Lonchura striata: one gene and its partners. The protein of the gene in region 2 purifies or fractionates together with the protein of the main gene of each other region. This does not show direct contact. Links are inferred from orthologs where the notes say so. Each region holds a gene or a part of one and is shown on either strand. Other genes may lie near its edges. The genes, in order: SMARCAL1, RPA3, RFWD3 and RFC1.

Region 1 (7,768 bases), on a different chromosome or scaffold from region 2:
TGGAGGGGTTGTACTATAAACAAGAGCAGGAAGGCTTCAGCATGCCAGGGAAGAACAAGCTGTGTAGATAAAAGAGGCTGCTTCAAAAGAATGGAGAGTGACTAATTTTTCTTGCACTGGCTGGCCAAAAAGCATGGAAAAAGAAGTGGTCTTCACTGAGCTGGCAGTCAGAGTAGTGGAGCAACTTTCTCATGCTAGAAAAACTCACTGAAAAGCCTCTGCAGGTGCACTTTCATCAGAGTTTCAAGGATAGCAGAATTCAGCAAATTTTGTCCAAATTTTGTCTTTGGTCCTACAAAGATGCTCAGGGAAAGGGCCTAAGGCTGACAAATGGGCCAGGAGGCCATGGTTCTCAATGGAAGAGGGAAAGTTGAGGGGATTTACAGCTGTCTAAGAAAAGAAATCCAGGGAATTGTAAGAGATTCAGGGTCAGCACTTCTCCAAACCCAAGCACACCCTGGCCTTCCAAGCCCAGGGCTTAAATTCCCTATTTGTCGGCTTTTACCTCCTTGAGAATCCCAAAGCAGGGCAGAGGAAACATAACCCTTCAGCCTACAGAGGACAGGTCTTGTAAAGAGCATTCAGGTCAGACCCTAGCACCCCAAAATAAAGGTTTCTCCATCTGGAACAAGCTCTGACACTCCAGAGGCCTTTCTCTGACTTTCCTGCACCACAACCTTCTCTTAAAAGGTGACCTGTACGTCCCCAGTCCAACCACTTGACTGGTCTTAGCTATGTATGAACTGATAACATGGGATTAATTTATTTTAGAAGGTGCAACTACAAGTTCTCTGCAGCTAGTCAAAGACTGGTGTCTCTGAGCTCAGTAAGGACTACCAAAACCCTCCCAGAAGCCTGGGCATCTCAGGATCCTTATCCTGGGCTGATTTCCAGTTCTCTGTTGGATAACATTGCTACACACAGCAGCCCTGCATGCAATTCAGCCCCAGCAGAGCATGCAGGCTGGCCACACATCGAAGAGGAAGTGAGCTCTGTTCATGTGGAGAACTACCAAGGTGTATTGGCAAAGTGGTAAAACGGGGCAAATATTTTCAATATGACAGTAGTAAGACCTCTAAAGAGCAGCCTAAGACCACTCAAAGGATAATCCATGAGATTCCAGAATGGCTCCAGAGTCTGGGGAGACTCATAGTTCAGATATTAGCTGCTGCTCATATAAGATGCACAATACAGGCAGTTCTGTCTCATTTGAAGCCAGCAGTCAGCCAGCCCAGCCCCTGAAAGGAGGTTTAGAGCATGATCCAAATGAGACAAAGTTCCTCCTAAGAACAACAGTGAGAATCTCATTAACTTTTTTCACTGGTGGGAGCATTTCTTTGGAAGGATGTGAACCATTTTCTCTGCAGCAGAGCTGGGGTGCACTATCCCTCCCAGGATTTTCACTCTGCATCTCTGCTCCTGACCCAGTATGTGGAGGGTGAGTCCAAGCCACTGCTGGAAGCATGTTCTGACTGAAAGGACACCTGGAGTGCACCAGCAAACTGCTTGCAAGTGGCCTCTCATTTTGTAGGTCTGTTCTCTGCATGGCCGGGCTGTTCCTTGTGTCTCGCTGAACTTGTGCCATATGGAGCAAATGCTTCAACGTCTGTCTGTGTCTGCCTGACCGTGCAAGCCCAGAGCTCTCTGCAAACCATGCTCTGCTCTCAATATTTGCATGAGCTGGGGACAGTCCTTGGATGGGGCTTTTCTCACTCTTCCCAAGTTGCTGGTACAAGATCTCTCAAAGCATAAGGAGCCATCTCTAGAGACCTGGAACTGGGTAGCTGCTGGCAGGGAGAAGGTGCCTGGAAACAGTTGCGGGGTTATGCTCGGCATGTTCCCTCTCTCATCCATATGTGACACTGGGATCTGGTTTAGCTCTGGGCAGTTAAAAGTGTGCCAAGAAAGAGAGAAAAAAGGTCTCTCATCCACTCCTTTCTCTCTCTGCTGTGTAGCCACCTGGCGTCTGCTGGCTTGCAGGGGAAGAAAGGGCAATGGCAGAAGATCTGGACAGGGCCCATGGGGCTATGCAAACATGCTCTGCAGCAAGAGGACCTGAAACGTGCAAAAAGGTTTGATTTTTTTGCTTGAGAGAAGCTGGGACAAAACCCTGGACCCAGATGTCTCCTTAGCCTTTAGCTTTCTTTAAAAGTGGTGTGTTTGGAAGTGCCTGCATGCATGTGGTGTGCTCATGCCTGCATGTGATTCCCAGGTGAGGAACAGCACTCTCAGGGTTGTGGTGTGTGCTGAGTTGCACCTCACTCTTCCTGCCTGCCTTGTTTTTCTCAGGCTGACAAGCTCCTGACTAATGGCAGTCGCTGCTGCTTAATCAGGAAGCAATTTAATGATAACCTTTTCTAATTAACTAGAAGAGAAGAATGAATAAACTGTAAAACAGCCAGCTGGCTTTAGTGTCCCGAGCCAAAGGGCCTGTCAGGTGAGAGAAAATGGTGTCTGGGGACAAGGATGGCAGCTCTGGGGCTGCCACTGGGCAGGGTAGTGAAGTTCTGAGATGGGAGGGGATTATGGTGTTCCCCAGGGCCTTTTCTCTGCTTTCTCCCCAGCTACTGCTCTGGTCACCCACATGAGGAACATGACAGTTCAGGAAAGGCATCTTGACATGTATGATCAAGCCCTATGTACAATTAAAACCCTGGGAGGCCCTTTTATTTTAACTGATGCAACTATGAGTAATCACCCTATTTTGAAGATGTGCACAAAATCATAAACCAGCCCAAGCTGGAAAGCACCTCAAAAGACCATCTGATCTAACCCTTTGTGGGAAAGGGAGCCAAGATGAGGTTTTCTATCATTCTGTCCAATTGGATCTTAAAAACCTTCCACGATGGGGGTCCCACTATGTCCCTGGGGAAGTTGTTTCAATTATTGATTGTTCTCAATGCAAAAAAATTCCTTTCTCATTTCAAGATGACACCTCTTCCAGTGTAATTTCTTGAGCGGCATAGGACACAGTGTTACTCCCTGAGGGACTGCACTTGTGACAGGCTGCTAGTGCCAGTCTGCATAAAAACCATTGATTGCTGCCTTCTGCTGTGGCCTGGAAGCCAATTCCCTACCCATTTCACAGATCCCCCCGCTTCAGCCTATCTGGTCAACTCATCCAGGAGGAGGCCATGGGAAATATGGTCAAATATTGTGCTGAAGTCCAGGTTAACAACCTCCACTACTCTTCCCATGTAGACAGAAAATGTCATTTAGCTGTAGAAAGTTATCAGATTAATCTTCTGTGATTTCCCTCTAATAAATCTGTGCTGGCTTTCCCAATCACCTACTTCATTTGCTTTGTGATTGTTTCTTGGAAGACTTTCCAAGGGCCTGGAGTAATTCTAATGGACCTGTTGTTTCTGGTGTTCTGCTTGGAGAAAGCCCTGACATCTCTCCTCTTCCAGCCTCCAGGCACATCCCCTCATCTGCCTGGTCACTAGTAGTGTCTCCAGGGATCAGTGTTGGGCCTGGTCCTGTTAACTGGCAATCTGGATGAGAGGATCAAGTTCACCATTAGCAAATTTGTGGACTACACCAAGTTTGGTTGGACTGTCACTCTGCAGAGAAAGCTGGGCATGTTGGATAAATGGGCTGAGACTGGGGTATGACATTCAACATGACCAAGTGTCAGGCCTGGCACTTCACCCACAATAACCCCAGGCAGTGCTACAGGATGGGGGCAGAGTGGCTGAAAAGCTGCCCAGTGGAAAAGGACCCGGGGGTGCTGGTTGACAGCAGCTGAACATGAGCCAGTGTGTGCCCGAATGGCCAAGGAGGTCAATGGCACCTGGCCTGTTTCAGGAATAGTGTGGCCAGCGGGACCAGGGCAGTGATTGTCCCCCTGTACTCAGCACTGGTGACACATCTTGAGTGCTGTGACCATTTCTGAGCCACTGAACTCAGGAAGGACACTGAGGTGCTGGAGTGAGTCCAGACAAGAGCTGTGAGGGCTCTGGAGCACAAGTACTGTGAGGAGCAGGTGAGGGAGCTGGGGGGGTTTAGCCTGGAGAAAAGGAGGCTCAGGGGAGACCTTATCAGTCTCTGAAACCACCTGAAAGGAGATTGCAGCTGGTGCAGGCAGCCAAGGACAGGATGACACAGCCCCAAGCTGCACCAGGATAGGTTGGATATTAGGAAGAATTTCTTCACAGAAAGGGTGATCAGACATTGGAACAGGCTGCCCAGGGCGGTGGTGGAGTCACCGTCCCTGGAGGTGTTTAAGAAAAGCCTGGAGGTGGCACTCAGTGCCACGGTGTGGTTGACATGGTGGTGTTTGGGTGTAGGTGGGACTCGATGATCTCAGAGGTCTTTTCCAACCTGCCATCACCATCGATATTCAAAAATGACAAAGCAGCCTTGCAATGCCAGCTGCTGCTCCTAACCCCGGGGGCACACTCCATCCTCACTGCTGACAAGTGCCGCCACCCGTTCTCGCACACCAGCTCCACTGCCGGCTCCCCGCTCAGTCACCATTCAAAACAGCACACACCGGACTGCCAGCCCCACACACCGGGGCAGCCAGCGAGGGGGTCCGCCCGGCCGTACAGCGCTGGGTGCTGCCTGGGGCAAGGCTTCAGCCAGGGGCCGGCAGCAGAGTCCCCACACGCCGTACGGGGGGTGGCGAGGGCGGCCCCGGGGTCCCGGCTCCCTCCGCGGAACGCCGCAACACCAGCGGCCCGAGATGGCGCTGCCAGCGGAAGACTACATTTCCCAGCGCCCCGCGCCTCCCGCGCGCCGCTCTTATCTCCCGGCGTGCTGTGCACTCCCGGCCGCTCCGTGCCGTGCCGTGCCGCCGGGCGGGGGCGCAGGGCCTGCTGGGAGCTGTAGTCCCTCGACGGTGCTCCGGGCTGTGCCCGCCGGCGGTGAGCGGGCGGTGAGCGGGCGGCGGAGCCTCCGGGGCGGGCGGGGAACAAAGCCTGACCTCCGGGACCCCGGGGCGGACGGGCGGGTGGCGGTGCGGGGGCCCGAGGGTCGGGGTGGGTCGGGACCTCCGTGGAGTTTGGGATGGGAGCCTGGTTTCTGGGAGAGGAGGGGGCAGAGTTTGAACGCCACCGGCCGCAGGAAGCTGAGGAACGGAGAGGGCGGGCGGGCATCCCGCAGGACGGGGGGCAGCGAGCGCATGGAGCGGGGCGGGCTGCCGGGAGAAGTCACGGGAGCCAGCGCCCCGCTTCTACTGCACTTGCGAACAGATGTGTCCCGGGAGGAGCTGGCTCTGCCCTGTGGGGTTCAGCATGTGTCTGCCACGCTCTCAGAGATACCCAGGAACCGAAGGTGAACAGGGAAAATGGGCATGGTCCCGTCTTTCATAAAAGGTGCCCGCAATAGGACACTTCCACCATAGGCTGTGCAGGGATGTAATCCTTTGCCTCCAGGTGCGTTTTCAGGGCTGGCTCTGCAGTGCAGGGTGTCCTCGTGCTTTGCTATTTTATTAGTTCTGCTGGGAATTGCAGAGAAGAGTACTCAGAACAGTAGTGGAATAGTTTTCTCTATTTCTGTATGTTTTATCCATGGAGGATTGGCATGCAAGGCCTCATCAGTGTCTGACACCATGTACTTGCTGATAATGGCTCAGCACTGATGTGACAGCTTTGCTGTGCTACGAGATTCATGTAGGATTAGTTACAGTAATACTCAGCCACTAACAATACTAAGTTATCAATACAATAATAATTTGTTCTTTTTTTTTTTTTCCTGTAGACTGGCCTCTCTTCCTCTAAAGAAGCAGTTGCCTCTGTGATTAATTCCCAATGTAGTTTTGGTACAGATTTGTTGTTGGAATTGTTGAAGATGTCATCGGGCCTTACAGAGGAGCAGAAGAGAAGGATTGAGGAGAACCGCCGGCTGGCTTTGGCTAGGAGAGCAGAGAGGCTGGCAGCCCAGGGAGCTGGGCACGTGGGCATCGCTGCGCCTCCGCAGAAAGGGCAGAGTCTGGGCAATCTGGGAAGCTCGAAGGAAGAAAACAATCATGTCGGGTTCACCGGCCAGCACCGACAGAATCCAAACACGCCTGTGGAGCAGAGGAGCTGTCTCCAGAAAGGCTACAACCATTATCCAGCAAACCAACAGATGGCTGGCTCACACAGAGAGCAGCAAAAGAGTTGTTCAGAGGACTCGGAACAAACAAGTGGCCTAAAGCAGTTCCCTGCTATGATCCCAAATTCTCTGAGTTATTCCCATAAACATTACTTGGATGCTGGTAGTCAGGAACATGGACAACACACTTCAATTAATCATGGAACATTCCAGCAGCCCAAATGCTGCCCAGCTTTCAAAAGCCCCACAGGACCACCTCATCCAGGAGTCACTGATAATGGGCACCCTGATGGCAGTAAAGATTTACAAACTCAGAACAAATCTGCCATTAAATATGTTTCACCACCAAGCAGTGCCACCCTGAGCAATTCAGAAATGCTGATAAACATAAACAGACCGACAGAAAGAACAGGGGGAGGTTTTGTCTCTCAGGCCAGTGGTGGCATGCAGAAGCTGACCAGCTCTGCTGGTGTGGCCTCTACCTTTGAAAGTCACAAGAAAGCAAATGTTACAAAAGGAAAATGTGTGAAATACGGGGAAGACCGATTCCAGGTTGAAATAGGCTACAATGCTGAACTTATTGCTGTGTTTAAGAAGGTACCAAGCAAAGCCTATGGTAAGAATTGTTTATTTTCTGTTATCTCTGTTTTAAATTGGGTTGAAGTTTTGGCATCTGCTGCTATTGTAGTATCTTACCAGTGCACCTATTGCTGGGGTGGAATATATGGCATTAATGGGGGATTAAAGAAGTAAATACAGATTAAATTGGAGAGACATTCTGGACATAAATAGCTTGAGCTTGGATTTAGAAAATAAGTCTGAAGCCTTGCTTTATAAGCAATGCTCTGAGAAGTTTAGTGGCAGCAGCTGGTCAGTTTGTTGGAAGTGAAGGAAACAAAGTTATTCATAAACTGGGATGTGAAAATGGGTCACTTTAGCTATAGTTCGGAGTTATGAGCTGATTGTTTCCTGGGTTACAGAGAGCAGTGGAATCTCTCCCTTTTGTCTTTCTTCTGATCTTTTGCCATTATCTTTATTTGTTATATTCTATTTTTATTTTCCATCATGTGTTGCTGATCCCTGTGAATGGCTTGTCTTAGTAGTCATAATCCTCATGGATTTTTCTGGTGTCATGTAGCTGTAAACTTGGGTATAATTGTTTTTCAGATGCGTGGCAAAAAGTTTGCCTGAGTAGATTGGATACTTTTACCTCGCATGAACATTTCACGTCACCACTTTTTTTCTGCCCCAAATGATTGATATTCTGCCCTATTACTCTTGCCCTACTTTAGATCCTGCTATGAAAAAATGGAATTTCAGCATGGAAGATTACAGCAGTGTCTGTAAGTAAATGTTGAATGATAAAAAACAAGCGGAATCTTGATACCCCCCCCTCCTTCCCCTGCTTTCCTTAGTTGTTGTTGAGCTTTGTCAGTGTCTTGAGTAATAAAAGTAGTGCTACTTAAAGATAATGCCCATCTTTTAGGCATCTAGCTCATAACATTTTTCTGATACTTTGTAGTTGATTAGAAATAATTTAATTTTTCCTGTAATCTAAATACCAAGCACAGGTGGCACTTTCCCTACCATTGAATTTTTCAGCAACCAACAAGATCATAGGAAAATTATCTGCTGTGCTGGTGCTTGTTTTGAATTTGTTTTGAAAACTCAGTGTGTTCCAGTGGCTAATGCTTAATTTCTGGGTCCATTCATGTATTTTCTTTTTAAA
Region 2 (7,364 bases):
GGCCTCCAGTCCTTACGCTGTTAAAATCACCAGCCCAGCACTAAGAAAACAGTACCTGCTATATTTTGTAACTGTGAATGTGGGGAGGTGGTATAAAATCCACATATTAAGAAGACTAACATATTTAGTGTTTCCTTCTCTAGGAGCCTGTTAGAAACAAAAGTTGTGCTTGTAGATCTCGGGTCTTTGAAAGGTATGTGGAATGAAGAGTTCACATACTACTACTTTCAGCATTTCGGTAGCTTTGTTGAACACACCATAAAGTATAAACTAAAAAGCAAAGAATGACTGAAAAAACAGAGTGAGGGGACAGAAACAAAAAATAGAGCTACATACAGTCCAGCATGGGTAAGGGAAAGACTGTAAACAGGCAATGCATTTGTGATGCTCTTTTAAGAATCTTATCAACTGTGCTACTTCAAAAGTAAACATAAATCTCCCCAGCAACGGGAAATGCAACTACTAAATTTCTTGAATCACATGTTAAAAACAGAACAAAGCCCCTACCCAACAAAGAAACACAGAGCTGAAAGGAAACACTCGTGCTCTTGAAGATAAGGACACATTTTAAGCACTTGCAGAATCAGGCTGCAGTTTTACTACTTGTAGATAAGATGATGTTTCAGGTAATGAAATCTCAGAACAACCAGCTTCATACAAGTGTCATTTCAGAGTAAAAATTAAAATTTAAGTTTGGAGATCTGGGTGCATGGTCACACAGACTTGAGAAAAAAAAGCACTTAGTTGTGAGTTTTTTAAAAAAAAGCTGTCAGCACATAATCACAGAAAATACACCCGCCGTTCAGAGATAGTACCACATTCCTACAGTCATTTTTCCTATATAGCACAGCACTTTTCCCTTCCAGATGGGATTAATTTTATTTCTATAGGAGACCTGAAATTGAATTCACTGCCTAAAGATAAAAATCTCCCTTGGTAGGAATATGCAATTCCCTTCCTCCTCATGTTTCTCTCTCACAAAAAAAAGTGAACACAATCGCTGATAGTTAAGAATAATGCTTTTGGCAGAGCTTCAGTCATTAGCAAATAATAAGCTCTGAACAACAGCAATTCTGTGAGGCTGCAAAAAATATTTTGTCTTTCTGTGAGGCTCTGAGAACATACGTGGCACTGGACAAAGATGAGTTACAGAGCTGCACAAAGGGGTTAATTTATTCCTCCTGCATTTTGTCAGTCTCCTTTAACAAGAACTATAGGTGACCTTTGAGCCAAACTAATATGTTAAATCCAATAAAATTTTTCTATACAACAAAGATCTTAGTATATTTACGATTACTTTTCAGCCTTTTCTGAATGTTTACAATACCAGAGGAGAATCATAATTTAATGTTAAAAACACCAAAGATGCAGACTAAGATGAAGAGACAATACCCAGTAATACAGCAAAGCAGAATTGCAGTGGCACTGCCAGTAATTACATAAATGATGAAATGAGGACAGAAGAAAACACAAAACTGACCTTAAAGAAAGAACCGGAATAATTTCACATCTAGCAGCTTAAGAGAGACAATCTATGGAAAAAGAAAACAGAGCATCAGAGCAATTCTCACTTCCATACTACCATCTGCTGTGATTCACCAATAAAGCAGCAATCAGAAAAAGAGCAAGATGTTTACAGCCCTGTACAATCCTTCTTATCATGAAAACAACCAATTTAAGAGTCAAGAATATGTGCATTGAAAATATTTCTCCATGACACCAAAAGAACAGCTTAAAAGCTTTTGACCCAGTGTAAGTTACTAAATGAAGAAGGAAGAAAAGCCATATGATTTCTTTTCTCTGGCATTAACATTAGTCACGGTTATTTAGTTTGTATTCTTGAAAACAGAAGAACAGAAAGTATCACAAGAAACACAAATTTAAAAAAAAGAGATATATGTATAATGAAACATTAACAAAGATTTTTTTCTGTATTACATAAACTGTTAGTATTTCTTTTTAATGTTTTTATAAAATTTAGGGAAAGCAGAAATACAAGAACTATATAACCCAAATTACCATAATATAAAAAACACTTGAAGAGGCTGAAGCATAAAAAAATCAGCCACAACCAAGTGAGACAATAAAACCAAAGGTGAGAAAAACAAAGCCAGGAATGAAATAAGAGCACTTAAACTGATGTAAACATTCAAAACCCTGAAGACAGGAAATGCAAAAAGAGAAAGCTAGGGACAGGCTGAAGCCTACTGTTTCCCCTTCAAATAATTTTCTTCTGATTGCAAAGTTTCAACAGCTACTGTGGTAAAGACACACATTTGTAAGAACTTGTACAATATGTTTTTATAGACGTTGACCCTTCAAACTCCTCAGCCCTAGAAGGGCCACTGTGCAGCAGCCTGCTGCACCTCACTCCAACAGCTACAGTAATGAGACCTCTCCTTTCAAATCTCTGAAGATACGTTATGGAGATGAGGATATTCTCTTGCAAATGAAATACTGAACAGGTGAATGTCACGGTGACTCTGAGGGGATGGCAAGCAGCTCAATCTCATATAAGATTTAAGTCCAGAGCACTCCCTGGTCACATGCTGGCTCTGCACAGCTTCTGGCAGTAGCTTGTTTCCTTGGCAAGCTGACACAAGCTACTGCCATATAACACTACCCCAGCCAACTAACAGAAATCACTTGGTGCTGGTTAGCAAGCTGGACTGGCCCGAGGCTGGTTAGAAGAGACAGTCGGCACACAGGCGGTTTTGTGATTGCCCTTTGAAGCCAGATCAGAGTTAGATTTTCTCAGGTATTTCCTGAAACACCAGTCCTGGAAAAGAAAAGGAAATCACAGCCACAGAATGGCTGCAATTGAAAGGGACCTTCAGAGGCCACCTTGTCCAACCCCCTACTTAAGGAGAACCATCTTAGACCTGGCTGTTCAGGACTATATCCAGGTGGCTTTTGACTACCTCCAAGGATGGAAACCCCACAACCTCTCTGGGAAACCTGTACCAGTGCTTGGTCATTCTCGTGGTGACAAGTGTTCCCTGATGTTCCCTGAGAAACCTCCTGTGTTTCAGTACTGGGCATGACTGAATAGAGCCTGACTGTCCTCCTTGCACCCTTCCTTCAGGTATTTATATTCATTAATAAGAGCCCTCTGAGCCTTCTCCTCTCTAGGCTAAACAGTTGCTTCTCTCTCAGTCTTTCCTCATATATAAGATAGTCCAGTCCCTTAATCATTGTTGTGACCCTTCTTTGGCCTCTCACCAGTATGTCCACTCCTGCCGTCACACCCAGCACTCCAGGTGCCCCACCAGTGCATAGCAGAGGAAATCAGCAGCTCACTCCACCTGCTGGCAACACCATTTCAAATGCAGATTGGGAGTCACCTTTGCCACAAGAGCAATCGGGAGGAACCTCTCCACACCAGGGATCAATTGGGAAAACACATGGAAAAAGAGAAGATGCATGCCAGTGCCACGTCCAGATGCTATATCTGCCTTACATCCGTCAGTTTTTCTCAACTTCGGGGATTGATCACCAGCTCAATTTCAGTGATGCAATAAAATGAAATTAATAGAATAGCTCACTTGGAAAGAATCTACAATGATCATCTGGTCCAACGCCTGGCCACTTCAGGGAGGATGAGAAGCTAAAGCAAGTTATTAAGGGCATTGTCCAAATGCCTCTTAAACGCTGACAAGCTTGGGACGTGGACTACCTTTCTAGAAAGCCTGCTCCAGCCTACCCTCTAAGAAATGCTTCCTAATGTTTAACATAAACCTCTTCTGGTGCAGCTTTGAATCACTGCCATGTACCCTGGGATATCCACTGGATACCAGGCAGAAGAGATCAGCATCCTGTCTCTGCTTCCCCTCCTCAGGAGACCGCAGAGTGATGAGGACAACCCTCAGCCTCCTTTTCTCCAAACCGAGCAAACCCGAAGTCCTTAGCCCTTTCTCACGGACATTGCCTTCACCAGCTTTGATTCCCTTCTCTGGACGTAGCTGCAGAGCCCAAAACCACACAATATTCCAGGTGAGTCCACACCATTGCTGACTACAGCGGGATAATCACCTCTATTTGCACTGCGCTTGATGCACCCCAGGACGACTCTTGCCCTCCTGGCTGCCAGGGCGCGCTGCCAAAATACACCGGAGCGGAACCAGGATCTGAGGGAGGGAAAACGCCGGGAAGGGGAAATACGGGGCGATTTCAAAGGATTAAATGACAGGACAGGGCTGGAAGCTGACGGCCAGCTCCCCCGGCCTCCCCGGGGCTCGGCCCCGCCGCCCTCCCCGCCGCAGCAGCACCGCCAGCCGCCGCTCCATCACCCACCCTCCGCCGCCGCTCTCACCGGCCTCCGCCTCCGCTTCCGGGTCGCCTCGGGCGCAGGGGAAGTCCCGCCCCGGCCGCCGCGCCCGCGGGGCCGCCGTCCCTCCCTCGGCGGAAGGCGGGAAGCGGCTCCAGCCATGGGTGACGTCCACGAGGCGCCGCGGCCGCGCATCGCCACGGGGCAGCTGGCGCAGCACATCGGGCAGCCCGTCTGCTTCGTGGGCCGCGTCGAGAAGGTCCGCGGGGCGCTGGGCGGCTCTGCGGGCGGGACGCGGCTGCCGCGGAGCGCTGTGCTCGGAGCCCTGCGCTCGGAGCCCTGCGCTCGGAGCCGTGCGTGCGGAGCCCTGCGCTCGGAGCCCTGCGCTCGGAGCCGTGCGTGCGGAGCCCTGCGCTCGGAGCCGTGGGCTCGGAGCCGTGCGCTCGGAGCCCTGCGCTCGGAGCCGTGCGTGCGGAGCCCTGCGCTCGGAGCCCTGCGCTCGGAGCCGTGGGCTCGGAGCCGTGCGTGCGGAGCCCTGCGCTCGGAGCCGTGCGTGCGGAGCCCTGCGCTCGGAGCCCTGAGCTCGGAGCCCTGCGCTCGGAGCCCTGAGCTCGGAGCCCTGAGCTCGGAGCCCTGAGCTCGGAGCCCTGAGCTCGGAGCCCTGCGCTCGGAGCCGTGCGTGCGGAGCCCTGCGCTCGGAGCCCTGAGCTCGGAGCCCTGCGCTCGGAGCCGTGCGCTCGGAGCCCTGCGCTCGGAGCCCTGCGCTCGGAGCCGTGCGTGCGGAGCCCTGAGCTCGGAGCCGTGCGTGCGGAGCCCTGAGCTCGGAGCCGTGCGTGCGGAGCCCTGCGCTCGGAGCCCTGCGCTCGGAGCCCCGCGCTCGGAGCCCTGCGCTCGGAGCCCTGCGCTCGGAGCCCTGCGTGCGGAGCCCTGCGCTCGGAGCCCTGCGCTCGGAGCCTGGCGCCGTCCCTGCGGCAGCTCCGGGCGGCCTGGGAGCAGGGCGGGAGGCGCGCGGGGCTTGCGGGAAGAACTGGCTGAGGCGGCCAAAGCTGTGCCGCTTCCGGGAGCCTTTGGAGCGCACAGGCCTTTTCTAGACTTAGATGTTCTTTTGTAGATTCATCCTAGCGGGAAGCTTGTCGTGCTTGCGGATGGGCTCGGAAAGCATACGACTGTGGAGCTGAGCGAGCCTGTAAGTTAAGGAATGCTTTGGAAATACTTGATGCCGCCTCTTGTGGAATCCGGAGGTTTTGTCTCCTCTGAAACCTGCATATGAGGTTTTGAGTTATTCCACCTGTATTTTATTGTCTCTCTTTTTTGCATCTTATAGCTAACTTGTAGTCTTCTTACCCATGAACTGTCTTGGTCTTGATCAATTTTTAGCTGGTGTTAAGTGACAACTTATCAGACACATCCCTATCTATTTTGTCTTACTCTACTAGTTGTTCACTAATATATTCCACTAAGTTTATTAGCTTTCTTTCAATTTCAGTCTTTCTATTTTCTTATTGCTTCTATAATAAAAAAGAACATAGTGTTTTCAAGAGTTTTTTGAGTTAACATTGTTGCATCCACTTAGAACACTTGTCATAGCATTTCAGTACACTCTATAGTTAGCTTGAAGCATTCTTTCTTAAAAAAAATCCCAAGCAATGAATGCAACAGGTATAAGATATAATTAGAACTACTGAACAAAAATACTGCCTCTTTTGTTATCACCTACCACTGAAGTAAGAATATTTCGGCAATCTCTTCTAAGTATGTTTTGTCCACCAAGAAATGTTGTAATTAAAGAATTATTTTAATTGTGATGGCAAATGCTCTAGCTTGACTCAATGCATGTGTATACTTACATCTTTTTCTCTGAATGAGTTGTTAAATGCTGAGAAACATTGCCATTTCCATGGGCAATAATTGTATATGGTACTCTCTCAGTGTTTTAAGACAAGAGTCTGTCCTTGTTGATGAAAACTGCAGTTTAATCTGGCAGAGTTTTGTCTTATAAATGTGAAGATTGCTGACATCAAACTGCAACAAAATGTCTCTTACCTTTTTCTTGAGTTCGTGAAAACATTTCCTGCCTTGGGTTGTTAAAAATTCAGATGTTAGCATCTGACCAAGGATTCTATAATATTTTCTCTAACAGTGTAAGTGGTTGAATTCCATAAATGCAAAGCTGTAGTGCTGGGCACTTCAGTCTGTGTTCCACTGCCTTGGGAGAAACTGGTGTGTGCAAAAAACCGAGGCCAGGTTCATCTCTCCAGTTCACCCAATGTCGGTGGGGAATAGATTTGCTAATCAAACTTTTTTCCCTTTCAATGTATTTCATTCTTTGTGCGTGTCTAGTTCCCTCTTTCAACAGAGGACCCCAAAATTATAGGAAGGGAATTTTTCCAGAAGACTTACTAGAAAGTAAAAAATAAGCCTTAGATATTGGAAGAGCATTACCAAAACAGTACTCCATTGTTAAAATTTTATCTTAAAAACAAAGAAGACATTCAAGCTGTATTAATTTGGCATAAGATATAATTTTTAGCCTTTTTTTCCTTTGTTCAACCAAAGACTTGTTAGTGACAGTATCTTTGTATTCTGAACACATACTTAAGAAATTATTTCCAGATATACCTTCTGCATGTGGAACACTGGAACTGCTCTCTGGAATGTGTGATACCTCCTTAACTCTTCCAGGGTTTATAATTGACAGGTCTGAATGAAGTGCATTAAAATCAGAATTGTTCTCTCTCTGTGTCCTAGATTAGTCTCTGTTCAGTGATTATATGACACAGTTTTATATACTTATGAACCAGTATCATTCCTTGGATCTTGGATGCATCTTTGCTTTTTTTTTTTTTTTTGTTGTTGTTGGTATTGAATTGGCTATTACAAAATCTGTAAATCCCTAAGTGGATCAAGGTTTTTGTGGGTTTTTTGGGGGGAGGGTGACTGGGCTGTCCAGTAGTACTGTATTGTTTGATGTGGAACAGAATCTGTCATGAAGAAACCATCAGTTGTGGAGAGTTCCTCGCTGTGCAGTAAAGACAGCAGCTATTTAGTGTTACTAATTTCATCTTTGGTGTGTTTTCTAGCTGGATGAGGAGATTTC
Region 3 (6,952 bases), on a different chromosome or scaffold from region 2:
TTGTTGCTTTGCCCACAGCAGCTCTTCCAGCACCTGCTGGAAAGGTTGGCTTGGCAGGGTTGATCCACCAAGACAGACAGAGAGCTGCTGGCTTCTCTGGTTGCATGTCAGTCACTGCCTCCATGGCAGGAGGGAGCACAGAGGTGGGCATGGGTCAGTCCATCATCATCATCATCATCATCACCATCATCATCACGTGTTGCCCTTGGTTCCATCCATCTGCAGGTTGCACCAGACAGGGGAGAAATCCCGACTCCACGGCTGCATCTGCAGCAGCAAGTTCCTGGTGGCTGGGGATTACTGTGTGAAGGTAAGCACCACACTTGGAGATGCTTTTGGGAGTTTTGAATGGTTTTGTGGATGTCTCCCTGCACCAACACTGAAGGGAACTGTGATGGTCCAGATAAAATTGGGTAGTGGCATCTCTCCTATGACTTTAGGCACTTAAACCTCCCTATCTTGGTCTTATCGTCAACCAAGTGAGGGTTCCTAAGGCATCCAGCCTGGAATGAGCTGAAGCTGGGGTGATTCACCTGCCTTCACCTCTGGTTTTGCTTGCAGGAAGAGATTCGTGCTGGGCAGCACACACAGCTGCACACCAGCCTTTACTGCTCAGGGCATCTCGCTCTGTTTTCTCCATCTTGGGGCAGTCCCTAGCTGCACCACAGGTTTCCACTCCTCCTTTTCTCTCTCTCATTCTCTCAATCAGCTGTCAGGATTTGAGCTGTGTGAAACAGAATCATCCATCAAGAGGAAAGCCAAGAAGGACTGTAAACAAGTCTCTATGTTGGCCTACATTGCTCCAGAGAACCTGAAAGACATCAACTACCCTTACAAGAGGCCCTGTGAAATATACAGGTGTGTCTGCCCTCCCAGGAGATGCCTGTGAGCAGGCAGGTGTCTGGCAGAGTAGCTACTGAGCTATGGAAGGAGGCCAGGTTTAATTTGACACACAAGCAGACGCTTCCAGTTGGCACAGCCTAACAGTTCTCTCCAGTAAAAGGGAGGAATACACGGTGGAATTAATACTAACAATCTTGCTTGTCTCCTTCCAGCTTTGGGATCGTTCTGGCAGAGATTGCAACCTCCAAAATCCCATTTGAAGGTGAGACAGAAGTATCTGGTTCCCTACATAAAAGCCACATGACACAGTGTGGTTCCTGTCTGGCACTGGATGCTCCCTGCTCCTTCCTTGAGCATCCCATGCAGGTGCCAGTGGCAGTGCCTGACAGCTTCATAACTTCTCCTGAAACTACAATATAGTGAAGTATTGCTTGTAGTAAAGCAACCTGCTTAAACCACAAACATGCAAATAATTTTTGTTTCTATTGGATGTTTCTGGGCATTTAAGCGTGAACACATCTTGCTCTACTGAAGCCCAGCAGTGTCATGCCAAATACAGTGGGGTTCATTGCAGACAGAGTTTGGGTCACTTCCCTGCTGGCTTCTCCCTGCCAAAGGCTGCAGGCAGGCTCTTGGCATGGCTTTGCACTGGGTTCCTCCCCAGCACCCTCCTGTGGTAGCAGAGCTCCGTCCTGACACTCCTGTTTGCACTTGTTCTCTAGGCTGCACTCCTGAGGAGATCGTGGAGAAAATCTGCAGTCACCATTACTGGGACCCTCTTGGGGAAGATTGTCCTGAAGACCTGAGGAAAATCATTGAACAGTGCCAGGCCTTTGAGCCTTCCCAACGCCCTTCTGCCGAGGGTAAGTGTCCCAGACACCTCCTCCACAGGCCCTTTGCATCCTTCCATCAGCTACTTCAGCAGGCAGTTTGTCCCTTATTTCCCCTATGAATTTGCCTGGCTTTGTGTTTTGGGATCCTGCCTTGACCTTTCTTTGTATGCTAACAAGTCCCCCAGTTCTGGACCTCACACATTAACATTTATTTACCCATGCCATGACAATAATCCCCAGGCTGTTTGTGCATTTGGTGTCATATAAAAGTAGCTTTTTCTATCAGACAAGTAGGGGTAGGAAGTAGGGATCTGTGAGTTATCCCTATTCAGGTCCTGCAGATCCCATAAGTTGGAGGAGCAGCCACAACACTCTGCAGGAACATCTCCTGCCTTGAGCTTTAAGCAGTAAATCCCAGTCTTGGGCATTGCTCTATGACAGGGAAGTTTTCACTGCCTCTGAAGCTGGTTTGTGTCTGATCAGATGAGTAACTGGTCTCCATCAGGAGATACAACAGCAACATCGGGAAATTATAGAGGAATATTTCTGGTGTGTTTGAAGTAACAGAGGTCACATACTTCCCTTGGCTCATCTGTCTAAGGGGAGAAAACTTCCTTCAATTTCATCCACTCCATCCTACAGGACCAGATCCATACAAGAGATGTGGGAAATGTGCCCAAGAAACCACTGAATGTCACATTTCCCACCAGTATGGCCCTGGCACAGGGACTAGCCCTGGCTGAAAAAAACCCGCCAAAATATCATTAGAGATGTTGACAAAGTCACATTGAGGAAACAGAATGGCTTTATTACCCTAATGTGATCATAATCCAACACCTACCACTGTGTGGTGCTGAGCTGGAAGGATGGTTTATTGCAGCTGTTCACAAGGGTGTTTCCATAAACACAGCTACTTCTGTTTGGGCTGTGCTGTCTGCTCAGGCCTGTCCCCTGCTAATTCCTGCCTGTTTGTGCTGGCCCAAGGAGTGTGACTCTGTGTCCCAGTTGTCATCAGTGAGGGAAAGCCATCTTCTCATCTGTTAAAAAAAAATCCAAACAAGCCTACCAGAAATCCTCTGTGTTCGTTAATGCCATCCTTGTGTTTTGCAGAGATTGTGGACTCGCTGGCTGACCTGGAGAAAAGCAGAAACCAAGGAAGTTAACTGTGGAAAGCGGGGCTGGGTGGCCAGAGGCAGCAAGCCCCGGGGTGCCCCTCGCCTCTTCCCTCACAGAGACTGATGGTTCAATGCTCCCGTGCTTGTTTCTCTGTGTGACACCTTCTCGCCAAGGGGCCCTGCCTGGGGAGAGAGGTGACCTGAAGAGAGGCTGCCAAGAAGCCTAGGGGGACCAGAGGGATGGAACATGGCTTCTTTTAGAGGAAAAACTGAGGGAGTTGAGCCTGTTCAGCCTCGAGAAGAGACTGACTGAGAGGGGATCCATCAGCGCCTCTGTTTGAAGAGAGACTTCAGAGGATGGACCAGGCTCTGCTGGGTGGCACCCAGCAATAGGACAAGAGCCAAGGGCAGAAAATGACACATAGGAAGTTCTAGTTGAATATGACAAAGAACTTTTTTCTGTGTGGGTGATCATACGCTGGAACATTGCCCAGAGAAGGTGTGAAGTTTCCCTCACACGATATCCACTGGTGATATTCCAGAGATATGTGGATGCAATCCTGTGAAACGTGCTCTAGGACAATCCTGCTTGAGAGGGAGGTGGGAGCACATGACTGACCGTGGTGCCTTCCAACCGGAGCCATCCCGGGATTCTCCTCCGCCCCGGCCCTGCCCCGGCTGCCCTGGGGCCACCTCCGGCTCCCCGTGGGGTCCCCCCGGTTCCCCCCAGAGCCTTCCCGGTTCCGCTCGGCTCACCTCGCGGATCTCCCTGGTTTTCCCCTGTCCTCCCCAGCTGCTCCCGGCCTCCCTGCGGGCCCCGCCGCCGCCATGGCAGCGCCCCGCCCACTTCCCCCGGTTTGAACGCACTTGTCTTCCCGCTCTTTTCGCCACGCGGCGCTCGGCCAATGACAACCCGCTCCCCTGCTCTTGCCCCGCCCCTTATCCGTCAGAGGCCTCGTTGCCCAATCAGCCGGTCTTCACTGCGGCGCTTTGACCAATCAGAGCACGCTCTACCTCCCTGCCTCTCGTCCCGTTACTCTCAGTTGCGTTAACCGACGGACAGAGCGATTAGCCAATGAGAAGGCGTAAACGCTCTGCCTCGCCCAATGGCAGGCGGCGCGGGGTGTAGCAGCCAGCCAATAGGGCTGCGGGGGCGGGGCGGCGCGGCGCTCGAGCGGGCGGTTGGGCCCGGTGGAGGTGAGCGCGCGGCGGCGGGGCCGGGCGGGGGCTCGGGCTCGGGCTTGGGCAGGGTCCCGGGTTCGGTCCCGGCGCTGCTCCATCCCCGGGGCCCGGCCGAGCTCTCCAGCACAGCGGGTTTCCTCCGGGCGCTCGCACTGCCTGCGGCTGCCGGATGGGCGAAATCCCTGTCCCGTGCCCTTGTTATGGCGGGTTCGCCTTTAAAACACGCGAGCTCTGTGACAAAGGCGGCAGAGCATCCGCGCTTGCGGAGCGCGTGTTTCGCTTGGGCCGCGCCGGGGCAGTTTTGTCTTGGTGATTTCATGGTGAGGCAGGTGCGGCAGAGCCCTGCGGGTGCCCTCGCAAGGGGAAGCTGCTGCCCCAGCCCGGGGGCTGCCGGCCGGCCCGGCCCTCTGGGAGCGCCCGGAGTTCCTCTCTTGGGCCCGGGAAGGTTTGTGCAAACCCTCCATCTGCGGGCTCTTCCCGGGCTGGCTGAAGGGAGGCCTGACTTGATAATTCCTCGGGCCAGATTCCAAGATTTAATCGTGAAAATGGTATTATGAACGCTTTTATAAATCTCACAGTTAATGTAGGTAATGGAACGTGTTGCCCGGTGAGGTTGTGGATGTCCCAACCCTGGAAGTGCTCCAGGCCAGGCTGGATAAGGCCTGCTGGGAGGTGTCCCTGCCCTTGGCAGGGGCGTTTGGGACTGTATCTTTAACCCTTAACATGATTCTATGCGGTGAAAATAAAGGGTTTATTACAGTTTTGGGTAGCAATTCTATCATGAACATGAACGTAGTACTAGAGCTGGAGTACTTCATCTGGCCATGCAGCTGTTCTGGTGGGAAATGGTAATGTCTATTTTTGGTCTGGCTTAGGCTGAATTGGTGATCAGGATAAGAATTATGAAATTGATAAGTTAGAATTTTTTAAAATATCTGTAAAAATACTTGAACCTTAGTACAACCTCTTTTATTAATTTTTGTATACATTTTCTAGCTACTTTTTATACACAACTAGCATTTGCTCTCTTTATGCAACCTTAGCTGTGTTAAGTTTTACCAGCTTGGTAGAACTGGTGTTTATACTTTGGACTTCTAAATAGTGCTAAAGATCTGCAATTCCCAAGGCTTTTCAAGTTTATTATTGCTAAGTACTTTTTGGAGAATGTGAATGATTTCCAGCTGCTCTCAGAATTTAATCCACACACCTCTTCCAATAAAGGACTTTTGAGTTTTTGGTGAATCTGTTCATTCAGTTACTGAGACAATCTTGAACTTTTTTGTGCTGTAAGAACAGTGTGACCAAAGTGCTCTTAATTTGGTGGCTGACAGCAGCATGAGAATTAATAATGCACAAACTGTTGTCTCTATTTTTCTTCAAACCCTAAGGTAGTACTCCTGTTTTGGAGGTAACCTGATATCCATATGCCAAAGATGTAGAAGGGCAGCCATCCTTAATATATATGCAGTTTTACTGAAAATTTCATGTTTATCCAGTCTTGGGCTAACTATGGATCCACAAATGCTGATGCTGCAGATAACTTGGTACCAGTAATGTCTCAGTCGCATGTTCTGCTGTCATGCCCTTTCTGGTTTTTTCTGGTGTTAGTAAATACCTGCAGGGCTGTTCAGTGCACTGTGGGTAAGGGTCACAGTGATCTGTTACAGTAAGGCAATTTTGTTTGAAAAAACTTGAATGTCGGTCGAGACCAGTGCAGCAAAGGACTGTGTCACAGAGCTTGTTCCTGGCTGAATCTGTGGGTGCTTGTGCAGTGCTGCTCAGCCAGGAGAGTCTCTTAGATATTTCCAACTGTTCCTCAAGATCCACATGAATTTACTTGGCAAGTAAATGATGGCAGCAAGAAAACATTAACTCTACATTCTCATCCAAGTGCTTATTTAAGTTGATTTTGCAATGTGCTGACTGCTGTCAAGCCAAAGACTTGGAGCCCAGGACTCTGGGAGGGTGCTCCCAACTCACATGTGTCTATTGACTTGTGGTTTAGCTCTGCTGCAAAGGACAAATTTTCTCTTGACTGAATTCTACAAACGTTTTTAGTCACTGAGTGCTGTACCTGGTTCTTGCTACCATCAGGCTACAAGTAGAGTACACTTAAAAGTAAATAGTTGTTTTCTTCAACTCCTTGCAGAAATGGCTCAAGAAGAGATGGAAGTTGATCTCCAACCAGTGGCTGGTTACTCAGTGGAGACCCTCCAGACACTCCCCCCGGAGCCCTCTGCTCACACAGCGCTCTCGTCCCACGTTCCTGTGCTCGGGGAAGGAGGAGGCAGCGCTGCAGCCCTTCCTGCTGAGGATGCTGTTGTCACAGCCAGTGCAGGTGCAGGGGAAGCACCTGCAGAGCCTGACCTGCAGACGGGTCCTGCCACGGCCCCCAGTGGGCAGCAGAGGCTACAAGGGACGTTGGATCAGTACCAACCACTGCCCGTGCCACAGCTCACACAGCACCCGCCAGTGAGGAGAGCTCGCAGGCAGCAGAGAATTGGTGGTTCCCAGAGGACAATCAGTGCCAGGTAAAGCAGAAACAAAATTGGGTCTGAACTGCCCCCTGATCAAGTCCAGCATCAGTTCAAAATGTCCTTGCTTCCTGGCTTTCAGAGCCCAGCTCAGGTGTGTGGCTAGGGCCAAATCCAGAGTACCTCACTTAGCTTTTAAGTTCAGTAATAGCACAGCGACTTCTGGTCTCTTCTGGCATGTTCTTTGCCCTTGTTAAGTGAACCCCTTGTTCCATATGTTGGCAGGGGTGATGTTGACTTCTGAGCCCTTCTACATTTTGAATTTTGCTTGCAGAGCTTCTGCTACTGCTGTTCCCTCCGCACAGCCAGATTCCTGTCTATGATTCCTGCTGATTCTCAACAGTTCCAGCCAACTTTTAGCTCAGTGGAGCTTGTGCTCTGGTTTTCATTTCACCTTTGGTTTGGGGTCTGCCTGATTACATTTGCTGGTGACAGTTGCTGCAGA
Region 4 (6,825 bases), on a different chromosome or scaffold from region 2:
AGTACATACTGACATGTTTCTTTCTTTTTCTACGGAACAGCATTTAAAATGCTGTTTGATAGTTATTGCATTAACATAATCTTTCTATTTTGACATTTAAAAGCTCTGATTTTATGTATCCTACTTCACAAAAGAAAACCCAAATACAAGTCGTTACCGATGTCTTACACTTCTAAAGCAGCTAGTCATTGCCATCGTTACCAGATGCTTGAGCTCCAAGTACCCACAACAGCTCTGTAACCCCATGGGCAATCTGTGGGCAAGGGAAAGACAACAGGCTTCTCCCCACTAAACGCAGCAGCGTTAGTACCACTGGCACAAGGATGCAGAGCGTGTTGCACCTGCCTGAGATGTGTAAGGTGCAGCAGAGACTGGTGCTCTCAGGTGCTTGGTCTGTATAAGGTTATGAACTGTATTTCTTTCCTTATTACTGACATGATTGGGAGCATGCTGTAATCATGGTTTGAAAGTGTTTTAATGCCTCAAGCCTCTGTGAATCCAGTTTCTTACTGCTTGGTCATATTTAACTGTTTGGGCTGTAATATAACTTCATGAAGTTTTAAAGAGGAAGCAGCTTAAGTGACGAAAATCGTATAATGACTTGAATTTGGAAGGAGTTCATTACCTGAGCAAAGACTTGGGGAAAAGAAATACTGTTAATCTGGAAAAGCAAATTTAATTTGACTATTAAAGCAAATGTTAATTTGACTGTTCTTAATTTGGAAAGCAATCAGCATGGAAGAGTGAGATGTGATCAGGGGGTGTTAGGAAGTGAGGGTGTGAAAGGAGGAGAAGAGAATTAATGATTCCACTGGCTCAAGTGGCAGAGTCAGGCCAGGCTCCAACCCTGGTGCTGTATGAGGACATACAATATGATGCTGCACAGTGGGATTTCCTGCCTCTGTCCACACACCTAATCAACTTGGTTTCAGAATGAATCAAGATTGGGAGAAGCTGCAATCTGCAGGGCACTTGCTGATACAGATTCAGGAGTTAGGAAGCCTAATGATTATTCAGTTCAATTCTTACTTATCAGATTTCCTTTTCTTCTTTGCCTTTGCCAAGGCATATGATTCAAATTAAGAAAACAATTTTTCACTTGGCTCTTGAATATGTAGTCTCCATGTTTTGGGGCTTGCCTTGAAAACTTGGGGTTTGATCTACAGAAATGATGAACACCTTAGTTGAAAGGACAGAGTTTTGAATGTTAGACTGAGTATCAGTTGACGCTGATATGTAAATGAAGAAAAAGACCTAAAGACAAAGTTCACTCAGAAGAAGTGTAATGTTTACATTAACATCAGCTGCTCAGACCTACTAGTTTTAGGTGCTCAAAGAAGCACAACTTATGTAATCGCCCACAACAGCGTCATGCAAATCCCTTATCTTTACCTTACACAGCTAAAACTGTTTGAGATGGGATCAAGTCTTTCTAAAGACACATAATTGTGATGAATACTATCGAAAGCCCAATGTAAATAGAAACTACATCACAGCTTTATGAAGAATTTTTGGAATTTTCCATCTGTAACAAAATGCTAATTTCTGCTTCTACAATGCCTGAAAAAAATTATTTTCTTTACTAGAGAGTCTAGTAAGAAAATATTCCTTATGGGATTCCTCCAGAATAGAAATGACAATCTAGTAAATTAGTATTTTAACGTCCATTATTACTACAAAAACCCAGAATTTAACATGAAATTTCACTTTAAAAATTGGTTTCAATTCAAAAAAGTATTAATGTATCAATATACAAAAATGTGGAAATAGAATAAACAAGATATTAACAAAAAGAAAACAGACAATTTTTTATTTCTCAGTACAAGAAAATGTAATTTTCTTATTAAAAACCTCCTCTCTCAATAAGCAAGACAACGATTTCACTAATAATATTAACAGTAGGTCTGGGCTTATATAGGGGAAAAATCTCAAGTTCAAGATTTAATATCTCACTTTTTAAAACGTATTTTGGAAAAAACCAACAATATAAAACAAACAAATAGTCTGTGGGTTTCAGCAAGGTAGAAAACAATACTAATAATGCAAAAATTATTTGTCACACTTGCCAATGGAGTGGAGAAATCAATTGTACTTTAGCTACTTTTTAAAAAGTTGTAATTTTAGTTGGGTAATAGGCCTTTTAAAAAACACTACCCATGATCAATTATAGACTCATGGGATTTTGCCTTGATTTTACCTTGCAAAGCACATCATAATACATAATAATGAGTATTCAGTTTTCTTTCCTGTGGTGGAGCAAAGTTTTTCCCACTTCCACTGGTTCCACAGGCATGTACATAGGAACTGAGGTATCCTGTGTCTCCCCACCATAGCCAGGAGTGAATTGTAGGCATTCCAGCTGTTCAGTCTGATGTCTCCACACAGGGTTGAACTCTTGCCTTCCGAGAAACATGAAGACATCATGAACCCACAAACAGATACTCCTCTGCTGGCTGTTACTCTAGGTAGCTTTATCAACTACAAAGAGAGATAACCACCCGCAATATCTCCTCTAGCAGTATTTGAACTGTTTGGCTCTTACAAATATCAGCCATTTAAACTGATCTTTACTTCTAGTATGAGGAACAGCACAGCTTTCAAAGTTACATAACAAGAATTAAATATGTAAATACAAATTTATCACTGGAGATGTTTTTCTAAAGCAATATCGATTTTGTTTGCGTAGCCATTATGTTGAGTGCATATGGAGTAACTTGCAAAACAGGCCAAAAAGCACAGCCTGTGCTGTGGGTCTGTTTACTTGCTCACTGTGTTCCTTATGCAGAAACCCAAATTCACAAGATATACTATTGCTGAAAATACACGGGCCCACCTAGCCATGTGTGTTCATAAAATAAAGGTAGCAGTTTCTGTATAAACAGGACCTTACAGTTACTTAAAGTCCAATTTCAAGAATTTAACAGGAACGGTAATAGGTATCATTAACAGTGTGTGGAATGAGACCATGCCACCAAGCAGGCAGTGAACACAGAGAGAACACAAGCGACAGCATTAGGGATTGCAGTACTTATACTGCAATTATATACATACAAATACAACTACCCATTGAGCTTGTACTCTGGTTGATTTATTTTTTTCTTCGATGAAGGGTCTCCCAAATCACCGGCAGTATTTGTAACGTCACAAATTCAGTTTGTCTTCCCATTCTTCTCCAAGTCCAACAATAATTAGCGATTCAGTAGGTTGACAGAATCTAAACAATATACAATATTTTAGAGTGGAGTAGTTTTTATTTGGCTTGAAAAAATTTATCCCCTTCCAGCGTTCAGTGTGCTTAGTGGAAGAAAATACACACTATTTCATTAGAAATAACTTAGAAAATTAAGCAGTCAGTAGCAGAATCACAACGCTAATTAATTCCCTGGTTTCTGTCGGACTCCTGAGCTCTCCCCAGCCTTGGCGCATGGGAGAAAGTACCATTAGAGGAACCAGACGCTCGGATGGGCAGGAAGCTGGGAACTATCACACGTTTATCACCAGTTTACGAGCAGGAAATGCCTTCCAGCCGCGCGGACCCGGGGCTGGCTGCCCGCCTGCTTTGGGAGCTGCGTGTGCCTCAGTGCCCAACACAGACGGGAGCCATGGCGGCCTGGCACTGCTTCCCCGTCTGCTTTCACCCAGCAGCTCGGCTGTCGGCTCGCCCGCTCTGCCGGACGCGCCCGAGCGCTCGCGGCTCTCCCGCTCTGCTGCTGCAGCGCTGCCGTTCCCGCCGGCACGGGCCGGAGCCCCGCGGCAGCGGTTAAACCCCTCACGGAGCGGCCGCACCCGAGCGGGCCGGCTCCCGGGCGGGCGCCGCTGCCATGAGCCCGGCCCGGGGCACGCCCCGGCCGGCCCGCAGCCCCGCCCGGCGCGGCCGTGACGGCAGCGCGGCGCGCCGGGCGGCGGGAGTTGGCGCGAAGGCGGGAGCATGGAGCCGGCGGCGTCCCGCTAGGCACGGGGAGCGCGCCGCCGCCGCCGCCATGGTGAGGGGCTCCGCCGGGCCGGGGCTGTGCGGGGCGGGGGCGGCGCGCAGGTCCCGCCGGCCGGGCGCGGCTGCGGCGCCGTCGGGGCCCGGCGCGGGCTGAGCGAGCCCCGCGGGCGGCCCCGGGCGCGCAGCCCCCGCGCAGCCCGAGCGGCTGCGGCGGAGCGGCCGCCGCGCCCCGCCCGCTGCGGCCGGGGCTTCCCACGCGTGCCAGGAGCACGGGCCCGCGGCCGGGGAAATGCCCGTGCCCGGAGGGGGATGTGGCTGAGCCCTCCCGGTTTCGCTTTCCCCGAAAGCGGGTGGGGTGTAGGGCGCGGGCCGCGGCTCGTCCCGGGAAGGAATGCGGATGAGCGAACCTGCGGTGAGGTGAAGGCGCTGTGCCGGAGCGGTACTTCTTCCTTTAACCCAGCGGGAACATGCACGAGGCGTTTCTGATGACGAGCTGGAGGGTGCGCAGTATTTGCCGAAAAACAATTCGATGGGAGGAAAAAAAGAGCTTAAAAGTTTATCGATAACGACGCAACCCTCAATAGGATGTAAAGAGATTTTAAGCATAAACATAAACGTGTTCCTATGCTTTCCAAAGTTCCGCTCATGTATGCAGTGACCATAGGATGGTATCCCCTTTTCATTTCTGGCCAAATGAGTTTGCTTTTATTCTGTGCACATCTTTTACTGGCCTAACTACAGGTGTCATTTTGCCAGTTAAGGCGCAACTCTAGTTTTGGACTATCCAAAGAGTTTAAGCTTGTTTATAGTTTATGCCTGGTGCTCTGCAATGGTGGGTGATACAGTCTGAGTCTTCTAGTGTACTGACAGAAGTCTGCCAGCACTAAGACTCCTGACACTATTGAACTGTGATATTTTCATTTGTTTTGAGCTGGCTGATGACTTCAAATTTATGTAAGAGATCTGCCTCTCCCATGCCTCTGCTAACACCTTTATAGAAAAGTGACCTTCTTGGAAGGCTTGCTTCCTCCTTTCCCACCTTCCCAGGACAAATTCTTCCTCTGTGTGATCTTCTGAACGTCACACATCTCAGTGTCTGGGCCTGTCTTAGAAGGGACGAAAACAGCCATCATTTTGGGGAGGGTAAAAGTTGCCTCATCCCATTCCCTTTTCAGTGCTGAAGTGGTTACTCAACCATCTCTGCTGCAGCTGTGGCGGCAATAGAGGCAGAAACACAGTGAGTTACTAATGGTGCAGACTGTTCTGCTTGTGCAGTGACAGCCATGAGCTTATTGCAGTCAATGTCACACCCTTGCAAACTTTTCTCCTGTAGTGCCAAGTGTAAGTAGCCCTGTTAGCTTGATTCTGCAGCATATTCTCATTGTGCTGAGCTGATGTGTGAAGAGTTACACAACAAACTGATTTGCATTAGAAGGGATTTATTTTTTCACCCAGATTAGTGGCCATGTCCCAGTTCCCAAACAGCGAGCTAAAGTGGTACACCCGAGGGAGTGAATGCCCAAGAGTGGGGGTTTCTTGAGTTTCCCCTTCAGAGAGTGACACTCATGGCTGGAGGAGGAGCATCACTTACAACTGTGATACTGTTTGTAAAACTGCTGCAGTTACCACTGTCAGTAACTGTTCATTAGGTGTAGTTACCCAAGCAGGTATTACTGGTTTCACTGAAGTGATAGTATAAATCTGATTTTAGTTAGTGCAATTGTTCTGGAGGTGCTGAATGTCAGAGCTGATATGGGAGCAAAACTTGCACTGAAATAGGCAGAGTAGAAAGAAATATGACTGTTGTGGTGCAAGGCCCTCATTGAGACACACAGAATACCTGAAGTACGATGCATTACTTTCTACTACAGTCATTGAGTTAGGTTGGTGAAGTTCAGTTTTCTATCTTGTATTTTGAGGTGCAGACTGGATTATGTGATGTAACTTTGGAAAATATTCTGCCTTACTAAACACTAGTCTTGTAAAAACACTCCTGGAGTTTCCCAGTCTTTGTACTACCTAACAAATTGGTTTCAGTTTCTGTTTGTGTTACTCTCCCCGGTAAAAAAATAAAGACATACAAATCTTCCAAGAGAGAACTTGCAGCCTGGCATGATTAATTACTGTGGTCTTCTGTTACAGTGTGAGATGGAAGATTTAAGCAGTAGTCAGAGCAGGCAAGGACTAGATGGCAGAGCCATACAACTCTGAGATAGCTGAGCAGCTTTTTAGGCTTTTCAGATGCTAGGCATCAATCACCTGACTGAGAGTGATCAGAATTCTTAGTTACAGCTCCTACCAGATGGAGCTGCTCAAAGTTATTCCTTGCTGGTGCTGTGCTGAAGCAGCCCTGGGGAGCCAAAACACCAAAAATTGCCTATTTTAATTTTAGCCTTTTGGGCAAGGGAACAGCCATGCTGGTTAATATCTCCAGGATACACAGGGCACATTGCTGTGAGTTTTGGGGGTATGTCCTGGAAGGAAACTTGACAGCTGCAGCCTTTCCTCATTGGAACAAGGATAGGTAAAAGCTAAACATGCAGATTTTCCAGCTGCTGGTACTATATATGTATGGATGGCATACCAATAGGAAGGTCAGTCAGAGTATGTTAAATAGATAAGCCCAGGATGGTGAAAAGTGGTCCTGTCTGGAATCTAAGTTGCTATGATAGATACTTATGTGGCTTGATTTCTGCAATTAGTTATGCAATGAATTAATAATTTGTCTGGCATGCCTTTATAAAAAGCATGAAAAATCTGTTTAATGATTCCCGGATAAAACCTTCACTGAAAGGTAACTTTGTTGTTGGCCCTGAGACATGTTTTTCTCCCAAGCAATTCTCTGTTCACTGTGTTATGTCATCAAGGTAAACTTTTCCTCTGAGGAGCAGGAT

Evidence for each region.
Region 1: the proteins of RPA3 (region 2) and SMARCAL1 purify together in Homo sapiens (affinity purification with mass spectrometry; 3 studies listed by BioGRID and IntAct, with this or other methods). This does not show direct contact. The link is inferred for Lonchura striata from reciprocal best matches to the Homo sapiens genes RPA3 and SMARCAL1.
Region 3: the proteins of RPA3 (region 2) and RFWD3 purify together in Homo sapiens (affinity purification with mass spectrometry; 5 studies listed by BioGRID and IntAct, with this or other methods). This does not show direct contact. The link is inferred for Lonchura striata from reciprocal best matches to the Homo sapiens genes RPA3 and RFWD3.
Region 4: the proteins of RPA3 (region 2) and RFC1 purify together in Homo sapiens (affinity purification with mass spectrometry; 3 studies listed by BioGRID and IntAct, with this or other methods). This does not show direct contact. The link is inferred for Lonchura striata from reciprocal best matches to the Homo sapiens genes RPA3 and RFC1.

Annotation. Positions count from the first base shown.
Region 1 is NC_134610.1:14,692,043-14,699,810, forward strand, and holds the start of SMARCAL1 (SWI/SNF-related matrix-associated actin-dependent regulator of chromatin subfamily A-like protein 1), read left to right. Parts: upstream 1-4,765; 5' UTR 4,766-4,868; intron 4,869-5,207; exon of another isoform or gene 5,208-5,277; intron 5,278-5,703; 5' UTR 5,704-5,793; coding exon 5,794-6,655; intron 6,656-7,331; coding exon 7,332-7,382; intron 7,383-7,768. UniProt on the Homo sapiens protein: ATP-dependent annealing helicase that binds selectively to fork DNA relative to ssDNA or dsDNA and catalyzes the rewinding of the stably unwound DNA. Rewinds single-stranded DNA bubbles that are stably bound by replication protein A (RPA).
Region 2 is NC_134603.1:131,398,577-131,405,940, forward strand, and holds the start of RPA3 (replication protein A 14 kDa subunit), read left to right. Parts: upstream 1-4,355; 5' UTR 4,356-4,427; coding exon 4,428-4,526; intron 4,527-5,378; coding exon 5,379-5,453; intron 5,454-7,347; coding exon 7,348-7,364. UniProt on the Homo sapiens protein: As part of the heterotrimeric replication protein A complex (RPA/RP-A), binds and stabilizes single-stranded DNA intermediates that form during DNA replication or upon DNA stress.
Region 3 is NC_134615.1:15,889,160-15,896,111, forward strand, and holds the start of RFWD3 (E3 ubiquitin-protein ligase RFWD3), read left to right. Parts: upstream 1-3,946; 5' UTR 3,947-3,988; intron 3,989-6,122; 5' UTR 6,123-6,124; coding exon 6,125-6,504; intron 6,505-6,952. Other genes in the region: MLKL (mixed lineage kinase domain-like protein), read left to right, coding at 226-310, 710-858, 1,056-1,105, 1,566-1,706, 2,787-2,839. UniProt on the Homo sapiens protein: E3 ubiquitin-protein ligase required for the repair of DNA interstrand cross-links (ICL) in response to DNA damage. Plays a key role in RPA-mediated DNA damage signaling and repair.
Region 4 is NC_134606.1:22,850,577-22,857,401, reverse strand, and holds the start of RFC1 (replication factor C subunit 1), read left to right. Parts: upstream 1-3,821; coding exon 3,822-3,983; intron 3,984-4,298; exon of another isoform or gene 4,299-4,398; coding exon of another isoform or gene 4,399-4,431; intron 4,432-6,825. UniProt on the Homo sapiens protein: Subunit of the replication factor C (RFC) complex which acts during elongation of primed DNA templates by DNA polymerases delta and epsilon, and is necessary for ATP-dependent loading of proliferating cell nuclear antigen (PCNA) onto primed DNA.